Drosophila melanogaster: one gene and its partner. The protein of the gene in region 1 interacts with the protein of each later gene in a pairwise test. Each region holds a gene or a part of one and is shown on either strand. Other genes may lie near its edges.

Evidence for each region.
Region 2: the proteins of Obp99a (region 1) and CG14803 interact in a two-hybrid assay, tested with the Drosophila melanogaster proteins (one large-scale study listed by BioGRID).

What each region holds. Positions count from the first base shown.
Region 1 is NT_033777.3:29,669,664-29,672,979, reverse strand, and holds Obp99a (Odorant-binding protein 99a), read right to left. Parts: upstream 1,324-3,316; 5' UTR 1,265-1,323; coding exon 1,226-1,264; intron 1,158-1,225; coding exon 768-1,157; 3' UTR 646-767; downstream 1-645. Other genes in the region: ppk19 (pickpocket 19), read right to left, coding at 1-524; ppk30 (pickpocket 30), read right to left, coding at 2,108-2,214, 2,273-2,509, 2,572-2,770, 2,824-2,973, 3,038-3,316. UniProt on the Drosophila melanogaster protein: Present in the aqueous fluid surrounding olfactory sensory dendrites and are thought to aid in the capture and transport of hydrophobic odorants into and through this fluid.
Region 2 is NC_004354.4:1,866,776-1,873,119, reverse strand, and holds CG14803 (uncharacterized protein), read right to left. Parts: upstream 4,198-6,344; coding exon 3,878-4,197; intron 3,823-3,877; coding exon 3,242-3,822; intron 3,177-3,241; coding exon 769-3,176; 3' UTR 712-768; downstream 1-711. Other genes in the region: Pgam5 (phosphoglycerate mutase 5), read left to right, coding at 1-147, 214-525; Pex5 (peroxin 5), read left to right, coding at 4,196-4,333, 4,406-6,112; MED18 (mediator complex subunit 18), read right to left, coding at 6,316-6,344. UniProt on the Drosophila melanogaster protein: Involved in recombination-dependent repair of stalled or collapsed replication forks.

The DNA of each region.
Region 1 (3,316 bases):
TCCGTCATTTTTAGATAACTAATTCCCGTCAGATTTCGTTTGGTCAGAATCCGTATCCGGTTAAAGTTGGAGAAGTTCATAATGTCCATACTGGCGAGTAGCTGGCGAAATGTTTCCCGGAGCTCGGCATTCGGATGACGTGGCAGAAAGCGGATAAATGCCGACGGAGCCCTCTGCCAGTTGAAATGATTCCAGGGGCAAACGGCCACAGCTGGAAAGTCGATGTGGTACACTGGCAACTGGGTGGTCTCTATCAGGCTGACCAGGAGCTGCTCGCTGTGGCGATGCATCAGCACGGTGTACAGACTGAATCCTGTGATCACCGCTCCCAGGACGATGGCGAGCCACAGGCAGCGCTGCCAGAGATGCTGCTCCCCGAAGACGTGCTGCATCCCATGGATGTTGGAGTGGGCAAAGGAGTTGCACAGTTTTTCCCGAAACTTAATACCACGCGGATTGTTCCTGAAGCGCAGTAGTCCTGGTCTCGGCCGCGGAATCACAAGTTCCTTGGTGTACAGCAACATGACGAATGGAAGTAGTTGGCCAAAGTTTTAGTTTAGTTTGGCTGCCTAAAAGCATATCCTCAATGTAATTGCTACTCGGAGTTGTTAATAAGTAAATTGAGGCCCCCATTGAAGAAGAAATATCTACATTCTGTTTTTCCCCACTGAATCGAGAAGGAATGCTCGAACTTGTATGGGAAATCAATTACTTTATTAACTAAACTAATGCTTATCGTTACATCCGTCCAACTAGGACCTAAGCCACTAGGCCTTCGGGGCCAGGCTCTTCTGGATCTGGGCCAGGTTCTCCTTCAGCAGACAGGTGGCTCCGCGGTAGGCCCACTCGCAGGCATTGGATCCCTGCTCGTTCTTGTCCACGCAGGCGGCCAAGGAGGCGTGGAAGGCCTCGTTGTGGTCAGCGTGGTTGCCCACCAGCTGTTGGTGGATGTTCTCCACGTTGAAACCGCTCTGGACGTCGAACAGGCCCCACTTGGTGAAGACGCACTTGATGTAGCACTGGGTCTTGGCGTCGTTGGGGTACTCCCACTTCTGGTACTTCTCCACCAGATCCACGGGCACGGCCAGCTCCTTGACGCACTCATCGCGGTAGGCCAGCATGTCGTGTCGGTTCTTCACCACATAGTCGGCGGAGGCCTATAACCCAAGGGAAGGCGTTGAATTATTCTGGTCCTGGTCGCCGTTTATCTGTATCGAGCACTCACCAGTCCAATCAGCACGCAGATGGCAACGAAAACCTTCATTTTCACTTTCTTTCCACCTATGTATGTATTCCTCCAGCGATCGAGCGAAGACTGTTTTGAAATAGGGCCAGGCAGCCCCTATTTATACGAGAGCGAGGGATCCGATTTGAGTTCGGGAATGGACTTGGTACCTGAGGGGTCTCCAAGGCGCGATTATGCTTGTAGATCCCCAGTTTATTTTTATGCTCAACTCCAAGCTGGGCATCTGATTCTTTTGTGATGGGCTTTTATGCTTGGGGGCACAAGTGGACAACAAAGAATCTGGAATCTGGATGGATGCCTTCTAATAACCTCCATGGGCTCAGTCGCTGATAAGACAGCTCCCCTTTAATCTTTGGCAAATTGGCGCGCTTATTTTTGTTGTTGCTGAAAACAGATTAATACCCACGTTTAGCAAACGCAGCATATTTGGGTGCACTGCAAAAAATACAGTCGCTGTGCAGAAAATTAAAAATACTTGCAATTACATTTATTTTCGGCATTTTATTGAAGGCATATATAAGTATGTGCTCTATAAGGAATTTATTTACTCAATGTTTCAAGTTACAAAAACAGACTTCTAAATTGAAAATGGATTTCTGGGACTTAAAAACAATATTCTTATTCAATTTCTTTTTCTGAAGAAAGCCTACAGTTTTGTTATGTCTGGTTGGAGCTGCACCTGAAAATTTTCCACTGCCATGCAGGTAGCTCTCCGAATGCGTTTTATTTTCTGGATTTGTTTATGTGCGCATCCCAAGAACCAGGTGAGTGGTGCATTTGTGTGTGCTTCGGTTACAGGTAAGTGTGGGAACGTGAGAACCCAGCTGCCGATGGCTGGTACTTCATGGTGCCAGCTTGGGCCTAGGAGCCATGGGGTATGCGACAACAGGCGAAGCGATCCAAGAGTTCGTTGATGCAACCTAGCACCGAGATGCCCATGATCAAACCGGCTATTCCTCCATAGGAAACTACAAGTGAAGGGTAGGGGGTACATGTCATCGCAGCTGTGATTGATCCCAAACTCACCCATTAAGTCGATCAGCGTGAAGCGGAGCATGGAGCGGTAAGAGAAGAGGGTCTCCTCCTGGAAGTACACATCTATCTCGATCGCTGCGGCAAGGTTGGTGTGGGCGCTCATCTTCTCCGTGTAGGTTGACGTGTGGTACTGGGTGTGACCGCACTGAGGAAAGCAACCGCAATCCACGGTGGAGAACACATTATCACGGGACTCTTCGATGATGTTGCTCATGGAAAAGAGGGAAACTAAGCGGAATTCAGTACATATATATCATATATATATGATTTAAGTTTAGAATTAGACCCACGTCGGTGCTGATTGAAGCAGGCCAGATCCTTCACACCGCAAATTCTACGTCCGTTGCTTTCCTTTGCAGCCGCAATGTTGTCCTCATCTTGAGTGGCCTTCACCGGCAGTTCCAAGGAGCAGTTGCACTTGCTGATGATGTAGTTGACGTGGCACTTGTAGATGCACTCCGACCGGGACTTTCCCGTTGGTATCTCATTCTAAGGTAAAATTAAGTTTAAGAGCTAGTATATATTTGGCTAAGGAAACCGACCTCAAAGTAACAACGACGCATTTGAACGGGACGTGCCCGGACATCCAACTCGGCTGTGAAATGAAGTGGTTCCACCGGAACCACGATGCGATCCTCTGAGGAATAGTCAATGCTCATGCCCAGCAACTGGGTCGGTTCGTGCACTATCACCTGGTGTGGTAATTACTCCATGTCATGACGCACTATCTATGTACATATGTCTTATCGGACTCACCCCCATTGTATTCAACGTATACAGACCCTGCTGCCGTTTGATCTTCACATTGAGTCCGCTATATGATCCGCATGAAGCCACGGACCAGGGCCACGTTTCATCTCTTCCCGAGGAGACCAGTGAGTTGAACTCGAAGGCGAAGCCATTGAAGGTCTTGGTGGGTCGGAATAGGTCACAGCAGTTCATCGCCTTGCGACGCCACTGGCACTCGGTGAAGAAGTGCTGGCAGTTCATCTGCAGCGCCTGGTAGATTCCCCAGCTCTGCGCGTTCCAGTTTTC
Region 2 (6,344 bases), on another chromosome or scaffold:
ACAATGGTGCGGGCCCAGGAGACTTCCGATATTATTCTCAAGCAGATCGATTTCGAAAAAGAGAAAGTGGTGAACTGTGCCTTCCTGCGTGAAGGAGCGCCTATTCCGCCCCAGCCGCCAGTCGGCCACTGGAAGCCGGAGGCATCTGTAAGTCAAGTCAAGGGTCAACCCAGTGCGTATTCCACATGATATTCGGCTTTCATTTCACTGCAGCAGTTCCTTCGCGACGGATCGCGCATAGAGGCCGGCTTTCGCCGATACTTCCACCGCGCCTATCCCGACCAAGAGAAGGAGAGCTATACCCTGATCGTGGGACACGGCAACGTGATCCGCTACTTTGTCTGCCGAGCCCTGCAGTTCCCCGCCGAGGGTTGGCTACGGATTAACATTAATCACGCTTCCATCACCTGGCTGACCATCAGTCCATCCGGCAACGTGTCCATCAAGTACCTGGGCGACTCCGGCTTTATGCCCGCCGAGCTGCTTACCAATCGCATACCGCGCGACGTCAAAAACGTGGTTTAGCCGTCTGTTTATAGAACTGCCCAAAGGAGAAGCAATCATAATGTATTTATTTCCAACACTTTAACTGAGACCTTGAGCACAGATCGCGAGACTGTGTAAACCACCATGTACATTTTGCCGCACCGTAACGTATATCTCTTAAGGAGGAATCATTGAATCTTCCGACTGAAATAATAAAGATTTTATAGAATGCCTAACATTTTATTGAGAATCCTTATATGTACAAAAGAAGCCATGAGGAGCCTAAACCCTGCTCAAGACCTTTTGGAGTCGCTGCAAGCACTTGCGTATGCCCACATCTTCTCCAGCGCCGCGTTTTAGCTCCACCTGCTCTGCCTGCTCCCTTATAAAGGATAGGATGGGAGCCACTAGATCCGGCGCCAGCTCTGCCAGGTTGATCAGCATCTGGAAGTAAAAGTAAGTGCAGTGGGCCAGGTGCTTTTCGGCGAGGGATCGCAAGTGATTGGAGCACATATCCCTGACCGCCTGTGATCGCTTGTAGGCATCGTGCGATATAAGCACTTTATAAAGTCCAAACACTTGGTTGCGACTGAGGTCCACTTCGTCCACGAACATTACGTGTTCCAGCAGCGGGATGTGCACGCCGCGCAAAACGGTTAGCAGCTGTTCTTCCTGCTCTTTGCCAGTGCTCTCTATCAGTTGCTGCATTATAGTGATCACCAAGCCCGCATGCTGTCCTGCCCTCCGCCGCTGGACCACCAAAAACTGGGTAACGAGGAGCTGAAGCACAAACTGCGCCAGCTCTCCATCTACATCCGCCTGGAGGAGGGTGGCATATGGACGGGCCACCAGCTTGGCGTTGGATGAGAAGCTAAAGTGCGGCGTCCAGTGCTGAACTAGTTGCTCCAAAGTCTTGGCCACGTATGCGTCCGTGCGGTAAGGCAGTCGACCAATGCCTTGCAGCAACACTGGGAAAATCTTGTGAACCACTTGTGGAAGGCGACCTTCGGGCGGCACTCCTGCCTGCAACTGCGTGGTGAGCAGGAACCGCACCATGGCCAGGTGGAAGAAGCAGCTCGGCTTGGATCGCACGTACGCTAGAGTGGAACAATTATAGATGACAATGGCTAGGAAGCTGTAGAACCGGGAACCGAGTTCCGATCGGCTTCGATCCGGGGGTAGCCATAGCTCGAAATGATTTACATAGGCATGCAGTTTGTGGCTCAACTGCATACGGACGTGGGCAGCAGCCTCCTCTTGCTGGGCACGCCTTCCCAGAGCTCCAAAGAAGGCGCAGAGAGGCTCGCGCCCGCCCTCCAAAGAGGTGGGATCAATGGCCAGAAGTCGGAACTCCTCTAGCTGTGTGACATGGGGCATTAAAGCCAATACAGATTCGTGTTGTGCGTTTAGGAGGACCAGAGACTTCACCCAGACCTGAAGAATGGTGGAGCTGGCAGGTCGCCCTCCGTCTTCCAACACCTGGAGCAACAACTGAGCAGAAGCAGCCATATTGATGGGTTCTGGTCCCTGCAGGAAGCCCAGTAGCAGTTTGTCCCCATTATTCTCCAGGGCGATGAAGTTAGCCGCTAGCTTTGGAAGCCATGAGCTATGGCTACTAACGTATTGGGTCCTCACCAGTGGCATTATGTGCTGTTGAAGTGCCTCCTTGATGCCACTCGCATTGCCAGCCACAGCTCTCCGCTCGCTGAGACGGAGGATTAAATTGTGAAGCGTCTGCCATACGCGATCCTGCGATGCCTGCCCACACTTTTCGACGTAATGTGCCAGCCATGGCCCGAGAAGCTGCTGCTCGCCGCGGTTGAAGTCATCCGCCAGATTAAAGATGGCTTGAAGGCTGCCCACATAAATGGCGCCCACCTCTGCATCATTGCGAATGGTGGCCAACTGGTTGAGCAGCTTGCTCACATAGTCATCCATAGATAGGCGATGCTGGGCATGCAGAAGCAGCAGGGCCATGTGTCCCTTGGCCACGAGAATCCTTCGCACCGGAGGCAGTTTTTCCAGGGCCAGGCAGAGCAACATTTCGCGCAGCTTGGGCGCCAACTCGCTGAGATCTTCGTGGCAGAGCAGCAGGCACAGAAACAGCTCGATCACATGGTGAATACCAGGCTCATTCAGAGCCAAAAGTTTCGCGGCACTAAACTTGCTGAATATGCGGCCGAGTAGTTTCTGACGTTGGTTGCTTCTGCCCTGCGATGGTAAAAGCTTCAAGGTTTTGCCCAGCATCCACGCGTACATGGTGAAACTGCTCAGATTCAAATCTTCTATATGCGACTTAGACAGCAGTTTGTTGTAGCGATCGACGTAGGCCGACCCATTGGAACAGGTAAGCGGCAGCTGATCTAGCTCAGTTCCCACACTAAAATTGCAGTTGAGGGATCGGTGAAAGTACTCCCACAGCTGGCACAGGACATCAGTATCCGGCTTGCCCAGCTGCAGTTGAAGGGGAGAGAGTTGAATTAGGTAGACCCGCCGCTGCTGTTCGTCCGGCTGGCTCGCCAGAAATTGCTTAAGCAGACTGGCAGTTTGGAAGCTTTCTGGTGCCGCAGTGAGCGGCGAGTGATCCGGCTGGTACCAACCCTCACTGTTGTATTCGTCCAAGCGGGCCAGTCCTAGCCTCAACCAGGAATAGAGTTCGTGGTATGCCAGAGAAATTGCATTGCTCTCACCTCGAGAAGAAAAACGACTATAAGATGAGGGGAAGCCGCACGGTCTAGCTTCTTTGTGCACTCACCCTGGAAGTGGAGTGACTTGTGCCTCTGCATGGCCTTGTGGAATAGAGTCCAAAAGTCTAGCTCCCGTTCTCCCAGCCATTTGGGAATAAGACGTTTCAGCAGCAGCCACAGCTCCTTGTTGCAGCGACACATGAACGGCGAGGAATGGATGAGCTCCGAGCGATGTTTGCTGCGGTAGTGATGTCCAGCACAAACGATCAGATCGTCGAGTGTGCGCTCCAGCTGCCCTAGGAACGCTTGATCATTCCCAGAGGCGTACAGTATATGCAGGTCCAGAAAACGCCACTCCAGTACGCCGTGATACAGGTGATACGCCGGCGCCTGGCAGTCGTTTCCCTTGTTGTGCTCCGCAAAATACAAAACCTTCCAGGTATCCGCATCCAGCTGATCGTTGAGCAATTGTCGAAACCCATCAAGAAAATGTGAAGGCAGCAGCTCATTGCCTCGTAGGAGCAGCATCAGATGGTAGAAGTGTGTGACCTGCTGGCGCACTCTATACCAACCAGAGTTCATAGAGGCGGCCGTGGCCTGCAGGTGTTGCTGGCCCATCACGACGGTTAACAGCTTCTGCACATTCTTACTGAGAATGGAAGAGTTGTACTTGTTGGCAGCTGCCAGGGGAGCTCTAAACTCACCAGGCCTCGCCGTACAGGTAGTTTCTTACCGCGCCAACCGCTAATTGAGCCGGAGCAAAGTCAAAACAGAGATAATCCAGGCGAGAGCGGGGCGGATCCAATTGGGCGTAGCCATTCCCCAGAAAGCCTCCCTCGCACAGTTGGCTCTTCAGAGTGTCTCGGCCACTGCAGTTGAACTCGGGCAAGTGTAGACCGTCGACTAGGTCCTCTTCGCTATCGTCCACGTCTATTTGCGCGCTCAGGGTTTCCTGCTTCTGTGTCGCCTGTATGAAGGTAGCCAGGATCTCCTCGTCATCCGACTGAAAAAGGTCGTAGTCCATGGTGCAGTCGGGGATTTGGCGTTCGAAACCAATTCTCTGGCGGATAAGATTTTGCGCGGCGATATATTTTATTATTATTAGAGCGCTGTGCAACACTGTCACAAAGCCGATAGCTTCGATAACGGCCGATAAACAGGTAATCTTTGTGACATTTGGACTTTTGTTTTGGACCTGATTTGGCCCCTTTTCTTATCGTTGGTTGCCCCAGTTACGTAGCATCTCCACTTCGAACACCATGTCTTTCCGCCCATTGGTCGAGGGCGACTGCGGTGGAGTTAATCCTCTCATGCAACTGGGCGGACAGTTCACCCGCGATGTTGCCCACAAGGATGAGGGCTATGTGCAGCGACACTTCGAGCGCGCTGCTCGTCCCGAGGACCAGTTGATCAACGAGTTCCTGGGACAGGTCACTGCCCCACCGCAGTCATTTCAGATGGACACTCTGCTCCAGGAGATGCGGGACATAAATATTCACGGAAATCCGCAGCAGCAGATGCACTCTCAGCAGGCGGAGCAGTGGGGACAGGACTTTGCCCGCGGACTGGCACCCGCCCTGCCCAACAAGATGATCCACATGCAGGCACAGCAGCAGGACCTGCAGCATGCCCAGGAGTTCTTCGACGAGCCCCTGATCAGTAGCCAGAACTTTCGGTCCCTGCCGCCATTGCGTCAGCCTTTGATGCCCATTGCGGCAGGACAGCAACAGGACCCCTTCTTTGACTCCGCCATGGAAACTATAATCACAGATCATCTGCCACAGGCGCCACAGGGGGAATCGCTGGACGACTGGATCAGCGACTACCAGCGCAGCACCGAACAAAAAGAGCAAACCGCCGCCAACTTCAACGAAAAGTTCTGGGAGCGGCTGCAAGACGAGTGGCAGAAGCTGGCCGACGAGAACGAGCATCCGTGGCTGTCGGAGTACAACGACAATATGGACGCTTATAAGGAGTACGAGTTCGCCGAGGGCAACCCCATGTCTGATGTGGAGAACCCGTTTGAAAAGGGTAAGGAGTACCTGTCCAAAGGGGATATACCCAGCGCAGTTCTATGTTTCGAGGTGGCGGCCAAAAAGCAACCGGAGCGCGCTGAGGTCTGGCAGTTGCTGGGCACTTCGCAGACAGAGAACGAAATGGATCCCCAGGCCATTGCGGCACTTAAGCGGGCTTACGACTTGCAACCGGACAACCAACAGGTCCTGATGGCCCTGGCCGCGTGCTACACCAACGAGGGCCTGCAGAACAACGCCGTGCGCATGCTGTGCAACTGGCTGACAGTGCATCCCAAGTATCAGCACCTGGTCGCAGCCCATCCGGAGCTGCAGGCCGAGGGCACTTCGTTGGCTTCGTCGCTGATTGGTCCGAGTAAGCTGCGCGATCTGCAGCAGATCTACTTGGAAGCCGTTCGACAGCACCCTTCGGAGGTGGATGCCGAAGTCCAGGATGCCCTCGGCGTGCTCTACAATCTATCTGGGGAGTTCGACAAGGCGGTGGACTGCTACCAGTCCGCTCTGCAGGTGGATCCCCAAAATGCGAAGACATGGAACCGATTGGGGGCCAGTTTGGCCAACGGCTCGCGCTCCGTGGAGGCGGTGGAGGCTTATCAGCAGGCGCTGCAGCTCCAACCGGGCTTCATCCGTGTGCGTTACAACGTGGGCGTATGTTGCATGAACCTTAAGGCCTACAAGGAAGCTGTGGAGCACTTACTCACAGCGCTTACCATGCAGGCTCACACTAACGCCGCCCGAGAGCTGCCCAATGCGGCGATGGCGGCTACCTTTAGAGGACAGAACCAGATGTCCGAGTCTATTTGGAGTACGCTGAAGATGGTCATTTCGCTGATGGGCCGCAGCGATCTCCAGAGTTATGTGAGCGATCGCAATCTGGCGGCTCTTAATGAGGCCTTTAAGGATTAACCGCCCCGCAGCTTCTTTATCACTGCTTTGGGAAAGTCCGTTGTTGTCGTGTCATGTGGGTGTGTAAGGTTGAATTTGAGATATTTTTTACTCTGGCAGTGTAATCATTCCCTCTCGGTTCTTTTCTGTAAATTTGTATATTTTCTTACATTTAAGAAATTAAATAACTGTTGGATAAATGCGATGTGCACTTTTATTGTAAACTACGGCATGCCGCCCAGTCGCTTGTAGT